2 linked regions of the Nothobranchius furzeri genome follow. The protein of the gene in region 1 purifies or fractionates together with the protein of each later gene. This does not show direct contact. Links are inferred from orthologs where the notes say so. Each region holds a gene or a part of one and is shown on either strand. Other genes may lie near its edges.

Region 1 (5,932 bases):
TAACACAAACAACTGTATAACTTACCTTACCGACACCCCGGTAGACCTCGGTCACCCTAGGGTCCAGCTGGGGCATTGGAACCCCTGATACCTCAGACATCACTGTTCCCACCTCGGTTTGCTTCTCTGTGATCTTCTCCATGATAATATCAGCTAAGGTCCGCCTGTGATGGTCACAAAGAGGAAAACAGCTGAGTATACGAACATAAACTTAACCTCAAAGTGGACTTTAGCAAATTCCAACAGCTAGAATTCAAACAAAGTTGTGAGAAATCTTGCCTCATTGGAGGGTTTTTATTCATGAACATCTCAATGGCCTTCTCATCATCAGAATCAACGATGACTTCAGTATCACCCTCCACATCACCATCCCCAGCACCTGCTTCTCCCAGAACTGGCCAATCTTCATCTGAGTCAGCATCCTGGGACTCAGGGCCTAAAATAAACAGGTCAGACAACATTAGAAAATATTATTCATGCATTCAGCAAAGACTTATTTCACCTAAATAGTTCTGAGAAGATCACGCTGGGAACTATTTTTCTCTGTGATCGTCTGACATTTTGTCCACATAAAAAACATTCGTCATTAGTTTTATTTTTGCAGAGAAATAAAGGGATGTTGCATAAGTAACACCGTATAACTAATTACAAAAACACTTTCGTGGTTTCTACGCTTGATAAACCAGACTTAATTAAAAAAAATACTGCCAATTTAAGGTCCGAAACCCTCCATCATACCGAGAACAGTGACTGGTGCTTTCCTCTGCTCAGGTGCCAGGCCATACTCGGTCTGCAACTCCTCTTGTTGAATCCGGGCCTGTTGTAAGATTTTCCTTGACAGACGTTCATCCACGTAGGTGTCCTCACTTTCGACCCGGGCGTCTCGATTCTTCACCCGGCCTCGGGCTCGGATCGTGTCCGCCTGGAGGATCTGGTCGGCCAGTGGCACCGCTCCTCCTCCGCCACTCTTCTCTCCTCCACCGCCACCTTTAGCTCTTTTCACTTTCGGCATCTTTCAAGAGTGACTCAAGCTGCGACGACGCTGTCCGTGTTTTGTTTTACCATTAGAGACACAAACAACGCGGAGAAAGAATTCTGTAAACAGTCTGTATTCTACACGTGCAGATTACCGTACGGCGGAAGTGACGATATACGTAACGTCTGTGCACTGAAAAACATATATATAACATACCATTTTATATGATGTTGATTTTATATGTTTGTATGTAACATACATTTATGCAATATGATTATAAAGTTTCTTGAGTTTGTTTTTTAATTTTCTGAAACAAGGTCGTTTACGTGCACCGGAAGTGTAAATGTTAATCCGGAAGTAATTGCTTCACGAGTGTTTTTTGCAGGCGAGAAATCAATGGGTGTTACTTGGTAAGCAGATTTACTTATGTTGTAGTTAAATGCTAACTGTAATAATATTTTTGTAATATATTTTATCACGCTGTGCATATGATTTCGTTTGGCATGTGTAGCTAACTCGGTGAATGTAGCCTTTATTTGCTTCCAAACCGTTTTACACTGAATAGAATAGTGTTTATTGTCGTTGTACGGTGTACAGCGAAATTAGAGTGCCACTCTCTTTAGTGCAAAATGGAAAACTATACAAAAAATAATACAGAAATAATATAAATGTAAAATGAACAGTAATATATATATTAGTTGGGTTCAGTAAGCAGAATTTTAGCATATTGAGTAAACAGAAATAGGACATTCAAATGTTATTGCACATGATCAATTTTGAACAGGTTGCTTCACGGTGTTGTGTTGTTCTTGTGCTGTGCAGTGTTTGCCAGGTGCCCGTGGCGGAGGGGAAGAGTGTCCAACAGACAGTGGACATTCTGCATAAGAAGCTGGAGCAGCTTGGAGCTGTGAAGCAGGGCAACTTCTGTGTAGACTGTGAAACATATCAATCAACAGTAAACGCTGGCGGTAATTTTCAGCTATTAACCATATAAATATTATCATTCCTGTTGTTTAGGTGCTTTAGATGGATAGTCTTCTGCATTGCTATTAATACAACTTGCTGCAGGGGAATTTGTCATATTTCTTTGATTAAATTCTGCTTTTTGAAAATGTTCTAATAATTATGTCAAATATTTGACTTAAACTCAATTGTCCAGGATATGTGTGCCTTGTGACAAATATATTGTCAAGCTATGTAATTTTCATTTTTACTGATCTTATTTCTCTGTAAGGTTAACAAAAACAGTCATCCATTGGGTAAAAATAGCCAGATTAAAATACAGTTGGTGTGTTTTAGAAAGGTTTTCTGTAAATCTTCATTACTATGTTATGCAAGGTTAAATGAGCCACGTTTCCACTGTATCTTTCCCCAGAAGTCAGGAACATTTAAAAAGCCCCATCCACTGCAAGAATCCGCTTAAATTTGTTTAAATGGGACAGCAGTAGCTCAGGAGGTAGAGCGGGTTGTCCAGAAGGTTGCAGGTTCGATCCCGGCTCAGACCAAAGAATTCTGCTGTTGTGTCCTTGGGCAAGACACTTAACCTGCCTTGCCTGCTGGTGGTTGTCAGAGGGGCCGATGGCACCAGTGCTCAGCAGCCTCGCCTTTGTCAGTGCGCCTCAGGGCATCTGTAGTGACATCATAGCTCATTCCCACCAGCGTGTGAATGTGTGTGTGTGAGTGACTGTGTTGTGAAGTGCTTTGGGGGGATGTAGAACCCTGTGAAGGTGCTATACAAACACAGGCCATTTACATTAAGCTCCTTGAAAAATAGTTTTTATTTTTATGTTTTATAAACATCCGCAACCCGGGGTCTATAAACGTTTGATTTGGCATTTATCTTTCTAAGTTACTACTAGTCTTTTTTTTCCAGGTTTCCACCAATGAGTCCATTAGCAGAGCAGTAAATCATGATCTAATTTAGCTCAAGTGTCCTCCAGAAAAAAAGGTGTCTGCTCTCGCATCCCTCATAAGCAACATTTATATAAACAGGACATGGTATGATTCTACTACTTACTTGTGTAATTTTAAACTTAATAAGCATGCTGCTCTAATCTGTGTCCAAAAATAAAAAAATCATGCAAAGTCATTATGCAAAAATTGCATTGTTACATTTTGCTGTTCTTCATGCAATTTCTCACTTTAAGTCTGGGTTTGTTACAGGTCAGCCCTCCAAGCTCCTTTATGTAATGCACAACTCTGAATTTCCCCTGAGCTGCTTGGCTCTGTTTGAAGGAGGACCCTGTTTGGTAGCGGACACAAACTTTGACGTCCTCATGGTGAAGCTGAAGACCCATTTCCAGAATGCCAAGGGACACAAGGTGGAGTGTCGCGGTTCGAGATATCGCTACTGTGACTTCTTGATTAAAGTTGGCACGGTCACAATGAGTTCCAGTGTTCGAGGGATATCAGTGGAGGTGACAGTTTGGTATTATCAGTTAGACCAGAGGCCCATTGTTCTCTTTTTTGACAGGATTAACCCTTGATGTGTTTTCCTCAGGTGGAGTACTGTCCCTGTGTGGTTCCAGGGGACTGCTGGAACCTCATGAAGGAGTTCATGCTGTCTTTTCTTGGCAACAATGTTCCTGAGCTTCCCACTGTATTTGCTGCCAAGCCTGAGGGTCTTTTTGCACCAGCAGACTCTGTCGACACCATGACTCAGTACCTGGAGTTGTTCAACAAGCTACGGAAGTTACAAATCACAGGAAGCAATGTGCACTAATAACATTTTTTAATGATTGTATTGATGTGTGTTAAATGTGGTCCTATGGAAACCGTATGATTTGTATAGTTCTATTTTTGTAACTTCAGTTTTGTATTTGTTTACCCTGATACAGTTAAAAGGAATACAGCTACAATCTATAGATGCAAATGCTCAACACAGACAAAAATAAAGACAAAAATCTACCTATTTCTGCAAGAAGTAAAAATTCCTTACACTCGGTGGGGAAATGTTGGTGTCACAGCAGCAATCATTCACATCAGGAGCAAAGAAGAACAAAATCCTGTAACATATGCAAGAAATTCTTAAAACATTCAATCGAATAAAAAAAATCTGTGCAGATAGACGAAGTTTATAATGAGGAGTGATGGCATGAAAGGAGAAATGTGTAAATAGGGACCTGGGATTACTCTCCGTGCACCAATGGATGCAGCATTCTGCCGCTGTAGGAGTTCCCCAGCTTCATGCATGGGGTGGAAGACATTGTGTAAAAGTGATGCTAATTTAGCCAGTCCTGTATCCCACCTCCTGCACTAGATCAAGGAGAAATCCTAGGGCAGATGTAGTGTCAATAAGCTTATCTAGTCTCTGTCTTTCAGCAGTAGCTATGCTGCTGACCTAACAAACCACACCATCAAAGATGGCTGATGCCACCATTTAGTCAAGGTCTGTAGGAGCACCCCCTGCACTCCAATGGACCTCAGTGGCATCAGCGGGTAGTGTGCTCTGGCCCTTACTGAAGAATATCTGTGTTATGGCCTCAGTTTGCTGTTCAGGTGAACACCCAGGTCATTATAAGAGTCCACTACCTCAATGTCTGTTCCCTGGATGTTCACCGGTCCCTAACCCAAAGACCTGAAGGTTTGATTAGAACACAAAACAAGAACTCCCACATGCACTTCAACAAATCACTTAATTCACATTCAAGAGTGAGATGCTTCTTATCAATAACATTATTTAGGAATGTAAAGAAAAGTCATCTAATGAGACTTAATTCAAAATAAAGACCAAAGTTAAAAATGTACATGAAATACATGTGGGGAGAAGATGTAAAAACTAAGTTGAAATGTTTCCATATTTGAAGTTAGAACAGTTTAACCCTTCACATGTCTGACGCATTAAATTAAAATACACACACGTTATAAAATGAACAGTTTACTGGACTATATAACTAAATGACTTAGTGATTACATTATTTATGTAATTAAATATAACTGTATAATTATTATTACCTGTCGCCTGTAATACACAGGTCTTCCACTAGAGGAAAACAGACGTGTTCACTGCAGGTTTCTGATGATAGTATCTCTTTGAGTAGTTCTGATGATAGTATCTCTTTGAGTAGTTATGTTCTTGCTGTGCAGAAAAGTAACCGCTTGCTGCTCTAGTGTCTCGGGCTCTTTGTCTGACGCCTCTCCTGCTGCGTCGTGATCTTCTACTGCTTTTGCGTAGCTTCTGTGTCGGGTTTCCACCATTATCACCAAATCCTCTCGTCTAGTATATTGTTCAAGTTCATCAACTCTTTGCTCTTAGGCCGAAATCTTCTTATCTTCAGTTAGCAGTATTTTAAGCTCCTTCACCTCCTCCATCAGTCTCATTAATCGATCCTGCTGTGATGTTACTTTTGACCTCCTCCAGGTCTTCTGTGGCCATTTCTTTACCTCGTCCACCCGCTCTTCCTCCTGGCATCTCTTCCACTCATCTGCAACCGTCGTCCTCTGGTCCCGTGCTCATCGCGACACGATGAATGTTGTTGGGCCTGCTTGGCTCAGCAGCACCCCTCGGCGCTGCTGGGGGCCGGGCCGATGGAACCGCGCCGGGCTCAGGGTAGTACAAATCTTATTAAAGAGATAAATCTCTCATAAACGTAGTTATTTTAAAATTAAATATTTAGTTTTTCATTGTTCTATATTTTACAAATATTAAAGATGTGTAACAATTTTTCACTTATAATACTCCTATGCATTTATTGTCTATGTGGCAAAATATCTAGTTTTCTTTTTAAACAATTACTAGTATTTACAATAATTTAATACTTTGCAATATTTAAGAAATTGTTTTGGCAAATACTGAAATGCTTTTCTCACAATAACTAAATGTCTTTTTTTTTACTTTTTTTTTTTTTTTACAAATATACAGACGACCTTTACCATATACAACATGACCTAGCTACTATAGATAATTGTTTTGTTTTGTTAGATGCAAATGCAAATGTAGCATATCATGAGTTCTAT
Region 2 (7,781 bases), on another chromosome or scaffold:
TATTATTTTTAATAATGGCAAGGAATTTTCAGCAGTTATAAAGAAACTGAGTATCACCCCATAAAATTATCTTTAATATGAAGATATGTCCACTAATACACTATACAAACCTCACTTTTAGCATATTTTGTGCTGCTATGGGGGTCTCTTAGCCTGGCAAGCCAGACTAAATAAATGTATTATTTAGTCTGGCAACGCTCCATTGAGTGCGTTTACATGCAGCCAGTAACCCTTTTAAAACCCAAATATTCACAATAACCCGGTTCCGCAGGTCCTTGTAAACACCGCCAAAAACCTGGATATGCTCATAACCGGGTTTTTAAAAACCCGGTTACTACACCTGGGGTAACCCTTTTCTAACCCGAATGTTTGGTCGTGTAAACGCATACCGGGATATCCCCTTCAAAGCGTGTGTTCTGCGCATGCTCTGTTCGCAAGGACTCTTGGTCTTTTGAGTAGCGAGACGTCTTGTATGCGCCAGAACACCGGAAGTAAACAACAAGTTGGGGGCAAAATGGTGAGTCGCGGCACAGCACCACACTTTGAGTGACGAGGAAACTAAAGCGCAAACAAACGCGGTCACTATCTCTTCCGAACTGGGAAACATGTTGTTGTTTTCACGGATACCGGAACAAGAAGAACCGGAAATGACGCATATTGCGTCTGGACGTAGTCCATACGTCCTGACGCTACCCCAACGTCCGCATTTAAATCGGGTTATGCAAGTTAGAGGTAACTCTTTCTATTTATGCTTGTAAACGGGTTATTCTGATCAACTCAGAAACCCGAATCCCGACCTTAACCCGATCATAACCCGGATATTGGCTGTATGTAAACGTAGTCATTGACGGCTCTCGGTTGTGGGGTGGGTTCTACCGTTGTCTTTCAAATAATCTCCGCATTCCACTGGACAATGAATGTGACATACTCTTGTTTCACTCTGTTGCATCATCCCACCCACCAGGCATATAGAGTGCCCTGATTGGCCCATAAAGCGGATGAAGCTCTGTGATTTGTTCACTAAGCAGATAGAGCACTATGATTGGCCCACCATTATGGACCAATCACAGCTCTTTATGTGTTTGAAACCCCTCTAGAGAGCTGTGATTGGCTAGCCAGAGTCCTGGTAGGAGCTGCGGAGGTTCCAATGGAGCGTGCCTAGACCAAACTTTGCAAAGCAAGAATTTGGTCTAGTTCACTAGGCTAGGGGTCTCTATTAACACTAAAAATGTGAAAAGAAATCAGTTGCCTTTCAGTGTTTGGTTTTAGAAATTATGAGCTTAAAACAAGCCGTTTCAAACATTCCCAGTTTGTGATGTCACAGTTGGTAAAATTAGCACCGAACCACCTTTGGTGCAAGAGAGAGCTGCTGCTGGAGGATCAGCAGCTCTACTCCGAGCCCCTCCCTGATATCTGAGCTTCTCAGCCTATAGCAGCCTGACAGGGGGTGCATGGGCATGGCCAGCACCAGCTTGTTTTCTGAAAGGGCTCATTCTGGAAGGAATTGAAAAACTGCTTATATTACTTTACGTGAGAGGAATTTAGTACAAATAACTTCTTAAACGTGTTTTGCATCAAGAACTTTTATAACTTAAGTCGTCATGTGTCTCCTTTAGACTGCGGAACGATGGACAGGTTAATTTCAAACTAGCTCCCACACTTGGGAATGACACGATCTGCTCCTCGCAGACCAAACAAAAGAAAAAACAAGCAGCTCTTACTGCAATCTCTCGGCAGGCTGACATGGAGATGCCAGTGCCTTCAATCTGCTTGAGGGCGTAGTCCTTATCATCCTTCCTACAAACACAGAAAAAGAGGCAGAGCAACATCAACAACAGACAAGGCTGCAGGCCCCCAGAGAGCAGGCTGCACAGCAACAGAAGAAGGCATGGAAGAGGAGGAGGGGGCACTTGACAGCTGGCATGGGGACTCAGGAGAAAAAGTTGCATTACCTCCAGATTTGTGTAATCAAGCTCACCTCAGAGACTCTAAACAATAAGAAAGGGGAGAGAAAGCAGACGCTGTCTGGCAGCAGGTAAAGGACAGAGTACTGGGACTGGCTCGAGTCGCACTTGAATGCAACCACTACCTCACTCAAACTTCCCTAAATCATTTCATAAACCCCAGATTCCTCAGTCCAAAGGTGGCAGCATAACTTAGTTAATGGACTCTCATGAACAACACAAACATCTTTTAGGTGTGTGGCTCCAGCTGGTATGAAGTTCTAGGACTCAGATGGGCTTAAAGATATTGTATTAGAACGTTTTAGAAAGTAAGGCGATGCCAGCAACGTTTTAACAGCTGAACCCTGAAACCAAAAATGCCACTGTTGCATTTTCTCCTCGCTTTTGATTTCAGGCCACTTTTCCGTCACAAATTTTTAAAAGTCACAACATATTGGGGCAAATTTGTCATAAAACACAAAATACGGCATCAAATAAAAGAGCTTTAGCTTCTTCTGATATAAATATTCTATATGATCATTATCTTACCAGTTCTGGGAAAATTGATGGAGGGAGTGATGTTTAAACAGATTCAACATTATTTTAGGGTGAATGGCATTTACACTGATGTTCAACATGCTTACAGAGAAGGATTTTCTACCAGTACGGCACAGACTACTCTTACTGATGAATGGTTGGGACAGATTGATAGGAAGCTGCTGGTGGGAGCAGTGCTTCTGGATTTTAGTGCTGCATTTGATATTGAGGATCATGACATTTAACTTTTGAAACTATCAGCGTATGGTTTTAACAAGACTGCTATCAATTTTATGAGTAGCTACTTGACTAATAGAAAACAATGTGTTATATTTAATGGTAGTCGGTCAAACACTGGCACTCTTTTGTGTGGGATTCCCCAAGGAAGTTGCTTGGGTCCTTTATTATACAGTATATTTGTAAATGATATGACTTTTGCATGCAGTGAAGCGCACATGACTCTATATGCGGATGATACGACCATATCTGTTTCAGCTTCAAGTTTAGTTCAGGTCAATGTTATGCTTCAACAGGAGTTAAAGTCTATCTCTGAGCGGGTAGAGGGAAATAAGCTAAAATTGAATGTATTAAAAACCAAGTGTATGCTATTAGGCTCTAGGAATTTGGTAAGAAAAACCCACCAGTTAGACATTTATTTATGGGGACAACAAACTGAACAAGCAAAAGAGACCAAACTACTGGGCATAACATTGGATCAATCAATGTCATGGACTACACATATTGATAATATTGTAAAGAGAATGAGTAGGAGCATTTATGTAATTAGGAGCAATGCTCAGTATATGTTACTGGAGACCAGAAAACTTGTTGTACAGTCTCTGGTTTTGTCTCATCTGGATTACTGTTCAGTTGTTTGGTCCAGTGCAGCAAAGACAGACCTTGACAAGCTTCAGAGAGCTCAGAACAGAGCTGCGAGGTTGGTTCTTGGTTGCCCTTTTAAAACTAATATCCACTGGATGTATTTTAATCTGTCATGGATGAGTGTAAATGACAGACCGGCCTGCAGCCTGGTTGTGTCGTTACACAAAATCTGGGTTTTACATAAACCTTTCAGCTTGTTTACAAAGTTGTTACCAACCTGTGAGCGGCATGGTTTTAACACAAGGAATGCCTCTCATTTATCTTTACTCTTCCATTGCCAAGAACCAATGCACTTAAAGGAACAGTCATTTACAGAGCAGTCACATGCTGGAATATCCTGCCTCCTGAACTAATAACAATAAATGTTCATGATGCGTTTAAAGTGAATCTCAAGAAATTTGTAAAACATAAGCTTATATCAGACAACAGTTACAGCTATTTCAATCAGATTAATAGATTTTAGATTTATAGAATTAACACCCTGACACTTTATTGTTTTATTGATTCATTGATCCATTTTTAAATTGACTTTTTAGTGCTTTTTTATGATTTTGTTTTATGAGGTTGATTATAGGAGTTTGTGTTTTTCTTACATTGTATATGAAATATTGTACTTTTAATCCTACACTGTCTATGTGATATTGTATGCATTTTCTTTTTGTTTCTTTTATCAAGTGGACCCCAGGAAGAATAGTTTTCACTATTGTGAAGACTAATGGGGATCCTTAAATAAACAAATATGAAATATTCTGTTTAATCCAGCACACAAGCCAAAAAAACGTGATTTTTTTTACTTTGCAGTAAAAACATTCATTGAACAAAACAGCTTAATTTTATACGGCGTGTAACATTTCTATTATCTCAAAAACATATGGCTTCCCAATAATAATAATACAGTATCAAATAATTAAAATAAACATTAACAGCAGCAATAATGAGAGCTACTTAAACTGAAGTTAATAGCATATATATTTAACAGATTTGTTATAATTTAAATAATTAAAAATAATCTCACTTTATGTTCTGCTACTGAATCATTTTGTTTTTAATTTTCAAGTATATTTGATCATCACTTTTATTAGTATTTCCACAAATAAACATTGTTTTGGCGCAAATGTTAATTTCTGCAGGAGTTTTCTCACTTGCATATGATAAAATTAGATATATTCAAACTCCATCTAATGAATATTCATTTGTAAAAATATATAAAAGACCGACACCAAAAACAGTATAAATATGCGCTACAGTCGTGTTGCAGAAATAAAGACATCCCATAATAAAGAGAAGACGGTGCTAAAGCTACAGAACAGGGCCTTTGTGCCAGAAAACGTGAGGAAGCGGTTTAAATGTGTTAATCTGAGGGAGGGAGGCTGACTGCTGAAGGCCTGCTGCACTTCAACTCACCCATCTTTTCTCTTCGCCTTATACACATGACCGTAAGTGCCTCTTCCCACTTTGCATCCTTCGTACTCAAACAGGTCCTCGACACGCTCTCGTTCTCCAGTTAGCTTCACTTTAAAATCATAGTCCATTTTCACCTCGGTTTGGGTAAATGTCTAAGCGCCGTCCTTATTCTTCTTCTTCTTTTAAAGCGTCGCTTGGGAGGCAGCTGGGCTCCTCCACCGAGCTCGGGTTGGTATTTCAGATAGTTGCCTTACCCAGCGTGGCTCTTTCCTCTTTCAACCCAGCTTACGTGTCGAGTTTTCGGGTCAAATTGAATGTTCCGAAGAGGGGTACGCGACGCTTGGAGGTAGTCCTAGTGGAAACTAGCTCAATTGTTTATTTCTTTCTGTTGTTGCTGCGTTTCCCCCCAGCCGGTATCTGCTCCAAAGAGACGTACATAGTCGGCAACGACAGCACTGTCGTAAAACGTCGTAAAGACGGTCCTGCAGCGGAGAAAAGAGGATGGAAACATGGGATAAGCAGACCCAACCACGTTGAAATACGTGTCTAGAACCTCATCAGTAACGCATTTACATTGTGAAAACAGCGTTTTTTTATTTTAGTGTCGTGTTACAGACAGGAAACCACCAAAAAGCGTTTTTATTGGTTAAAAAAGCCCTTCAATTAGATTTTGTAAATAAGAAACAAAATATCCATCTTTTAAATTTTAAGCAAATAAGAAAATTGGGCCTATTTAATTCAGTAAGTTGTCAATACCCAATAATTGATGGAAGTGTTTGACAATTTATAACAAACCCCCATTTATGACATCTTCAAGGGTTTATCCATATAAGTAGCGGTGAGTTGAAGAGGTAAAAAGTAATTTGTTGGAGGACAATTTTGTGGAGGGACATCTGTGTCCCTTTTGGATTTCTCTTTATCATGGATTCACAATGACAGTGCAACACTTGTATTTGTCTTCAATAAAAGCTAATTTCTATCTCTGTTAACTAATCACTGTGAATTTATGTTTTAACAACAGAAACATAGATGAAAAGATGCCATTCATTTTAAAGAGGTGATTAGATAAAATGAGTACAGAAGTTGGTCATAGTTAGTAGGAAAATTGCATTATCGGGAACTGGAAACAATAGAATTCTTACTATGAACTCATTTTACAATGCATTTGAATTTGCATTTGGCTCACAGTTTGGATCTTCTTTTATTTATTTGTTTGTTTATTTCTAGGATTTACTAACAAAAACTGTTTTAAAGGCTCTTTACTTTATCCAGAACTGTCAGCATTCTTTGACTAGCTCATTCATACATCGTCTCTTATCTTTTTGTGTGGAGAGAATAGCCGTGATAGTAAATAAATAGTGACAAATTAGCTACTCTTCTTAGATTTACGTTGATTAATGAAGATCATCTAGAAATTACACCCACTGGTGTTTCATGACCTACTCTTGGATCGTGATCTCAGTCATTTTTAGGAGGACCTGCTTATAACAAATGTTAAAGTAAAATGTACACAATTTCATTTTAAATACAGCATAAATTAATTATTTTTGATAATGTTGATCTGCCTTTCAAACTGGTTAAAAAACCAATAAACATCTCTTTGGACAGTATTGTTTTGTAGGAACTAAGAAAATGCGGTGCTTGTTTCAGACGGACGGTTTAATGCTTGTACCGCTGGTCCCATCTTGGGTTGTGAGAGGTGAGAGCTGAGCCAACCGTCCATATTATAACTGCCTTGTCAGGTATCTAAATCTTATAAATTTTAATGTCACGTCTCACGAGAGTATGATTTCTTTAACTTGTGTGTTTCGTGTGTGTTAACTGATCGATAAAATAATTCCCCATGGTAATGTGTTTCTTTTTTTTCTCGGAGCTAACACTGGGCATCGACTGATTGCTGGCTGTGCTAACATGTTCAGTTAACACTCGGAAGCGTTGCGCATTGAATTTTACGCTTCGCAGTTTATGAAGGGTCCACAAATCGTGCTCGTGCGTTTGTGCGACAACACATAATTTCACTGTTGATGGCATACATCTGAATCATTCTGCTGTTTGATTATGCGGACAGGATTCTTTGTCTTTGCTTCGATGCTCTGCGTCTACATGGAGGAAGCCTCCGTTAGCCTCGCTTGGCCCGCCTTTGCCGAACAGCGATTGGACGCCGGGCGTGACCGTCACCGAGGCTAGACCGCTGATTGGTCGCTGACCATGATGACAGCGGCACTTTTGTTGCTTTACATTAGCCGTGGCCTTCGCTCGATATAAATCCACTTGTTTAAAATTAGCTTTCATGAAGACTACATCGGTATTATTTGTCTTATTAGCTGTCTTGTACTCTTGTTATTTTTTTCCACATGACAAAATAGTTTAACTTCTGACGCTAACACACAAGCTAAATGTTAGCTAGATTATTGCAGTAGCTCTTGTAGAAAATGGTTGACGTTGGTTTTCCTCTCGGCCTTTTAAAAGACTGATCAGGTTTGAATTTGCATTTCTTGTTGAGCTGCAACGCACCACAGCATATTGAGTGCGTATATACCTCAAACTCAAATGTTATTTACTCATCTTTCGACTTAAGAATGGAGCTGTTATCAGTTTTGACTGCATTCTCTTGTTTATATGCATCCATAACAAATTTTCACTTAGGTAAAGCTGCTGTGGGTAGCTTTGCGTGTCACTGTCACTTTCCATCATCAGCTGATGATTTGCTCATCTGCTTCCCAGCACTCTCCATGGTGATGGACCCTCCTGGTGGGGGAGATGAACGCCAGAGGCAGGCAGAGCGTCTTCGACGGGAGGAGGCATACTATCACTTCATAAATGAACTGAGTGAGGAAGAGTACCGTCTCATGAGAGACAGCAACCTGCTGGGCACCCCAGGTGAGGAGTCACCCACTAGTTTAGGTCCAGGCCAAACTGTCACTTTACATGAGTCTTTACTTGATGTTGCAGCCCCAAAGGTTTTCTGTGAATGTGAAAAATGTATCTAGTACTTCCAAACCAGAATTAAAAAAA

Evidence for each region. The genes of interacting proteins can lie anywhere in the genome.
Region 2: the proteins of med20 (region 1) and cdk8 purify together in Homo sapiens (affinity purification with mass spectrometry; 8 studies listed by BioGRID and IntAct, counting the BioPlex papers as one, with this or other methods). This does not show direct contact. The link is inferred for Nothobranchius furzeri from reciprocal best matches to the Homo sapiens genes MED20 and CDK8.

The regions. Positions count from the first base shown.
Region 1 is NC_091743.1:46,651,445-46,657,376, forward strand, and holds med20 (mediator of RNA polymerase II transcription subunit 20), read left to right. Parts: upstream 1-1,280; 5' UTR 1,281-1,372; coding exon 1,373-1,386; intron 1,387-1,798; coding exon 1,799-1,944; intron 1,945-3,139; coding exon 3,140-3,393; intron 3,394-3,476; coding exon 3,477-3,698; 3' UTR 3,699-3,887; downstream 3,888-5,932. Other genes in the region: bysl (bystin), read right to left, coding at 26-164, 280-436, 739-1,012. UniProt on the Homo sapiens protein: Component of the Mediator complex, a coactivator involved in the regulated transcription of nearly all RNA polymerase II-dependent genes.
Region 2 is NC_091747.1:51,005,514-51,013,294, reverse strand, and holds the start of cdk8 (cyclin-dependent kinase 8), read right to left. Parts: upstream 5,097-7,781; 5' UTR 4,895-5,096; coding exon 4,767-4,894; intron 1,798-4,766; coding exon 1,722-1,797; intron 1-1,721. Other genes in the region: E3 ubiquitin-protein ligase RNF6, read left to right, coding at 6,429-6,465, 7,491-7,646.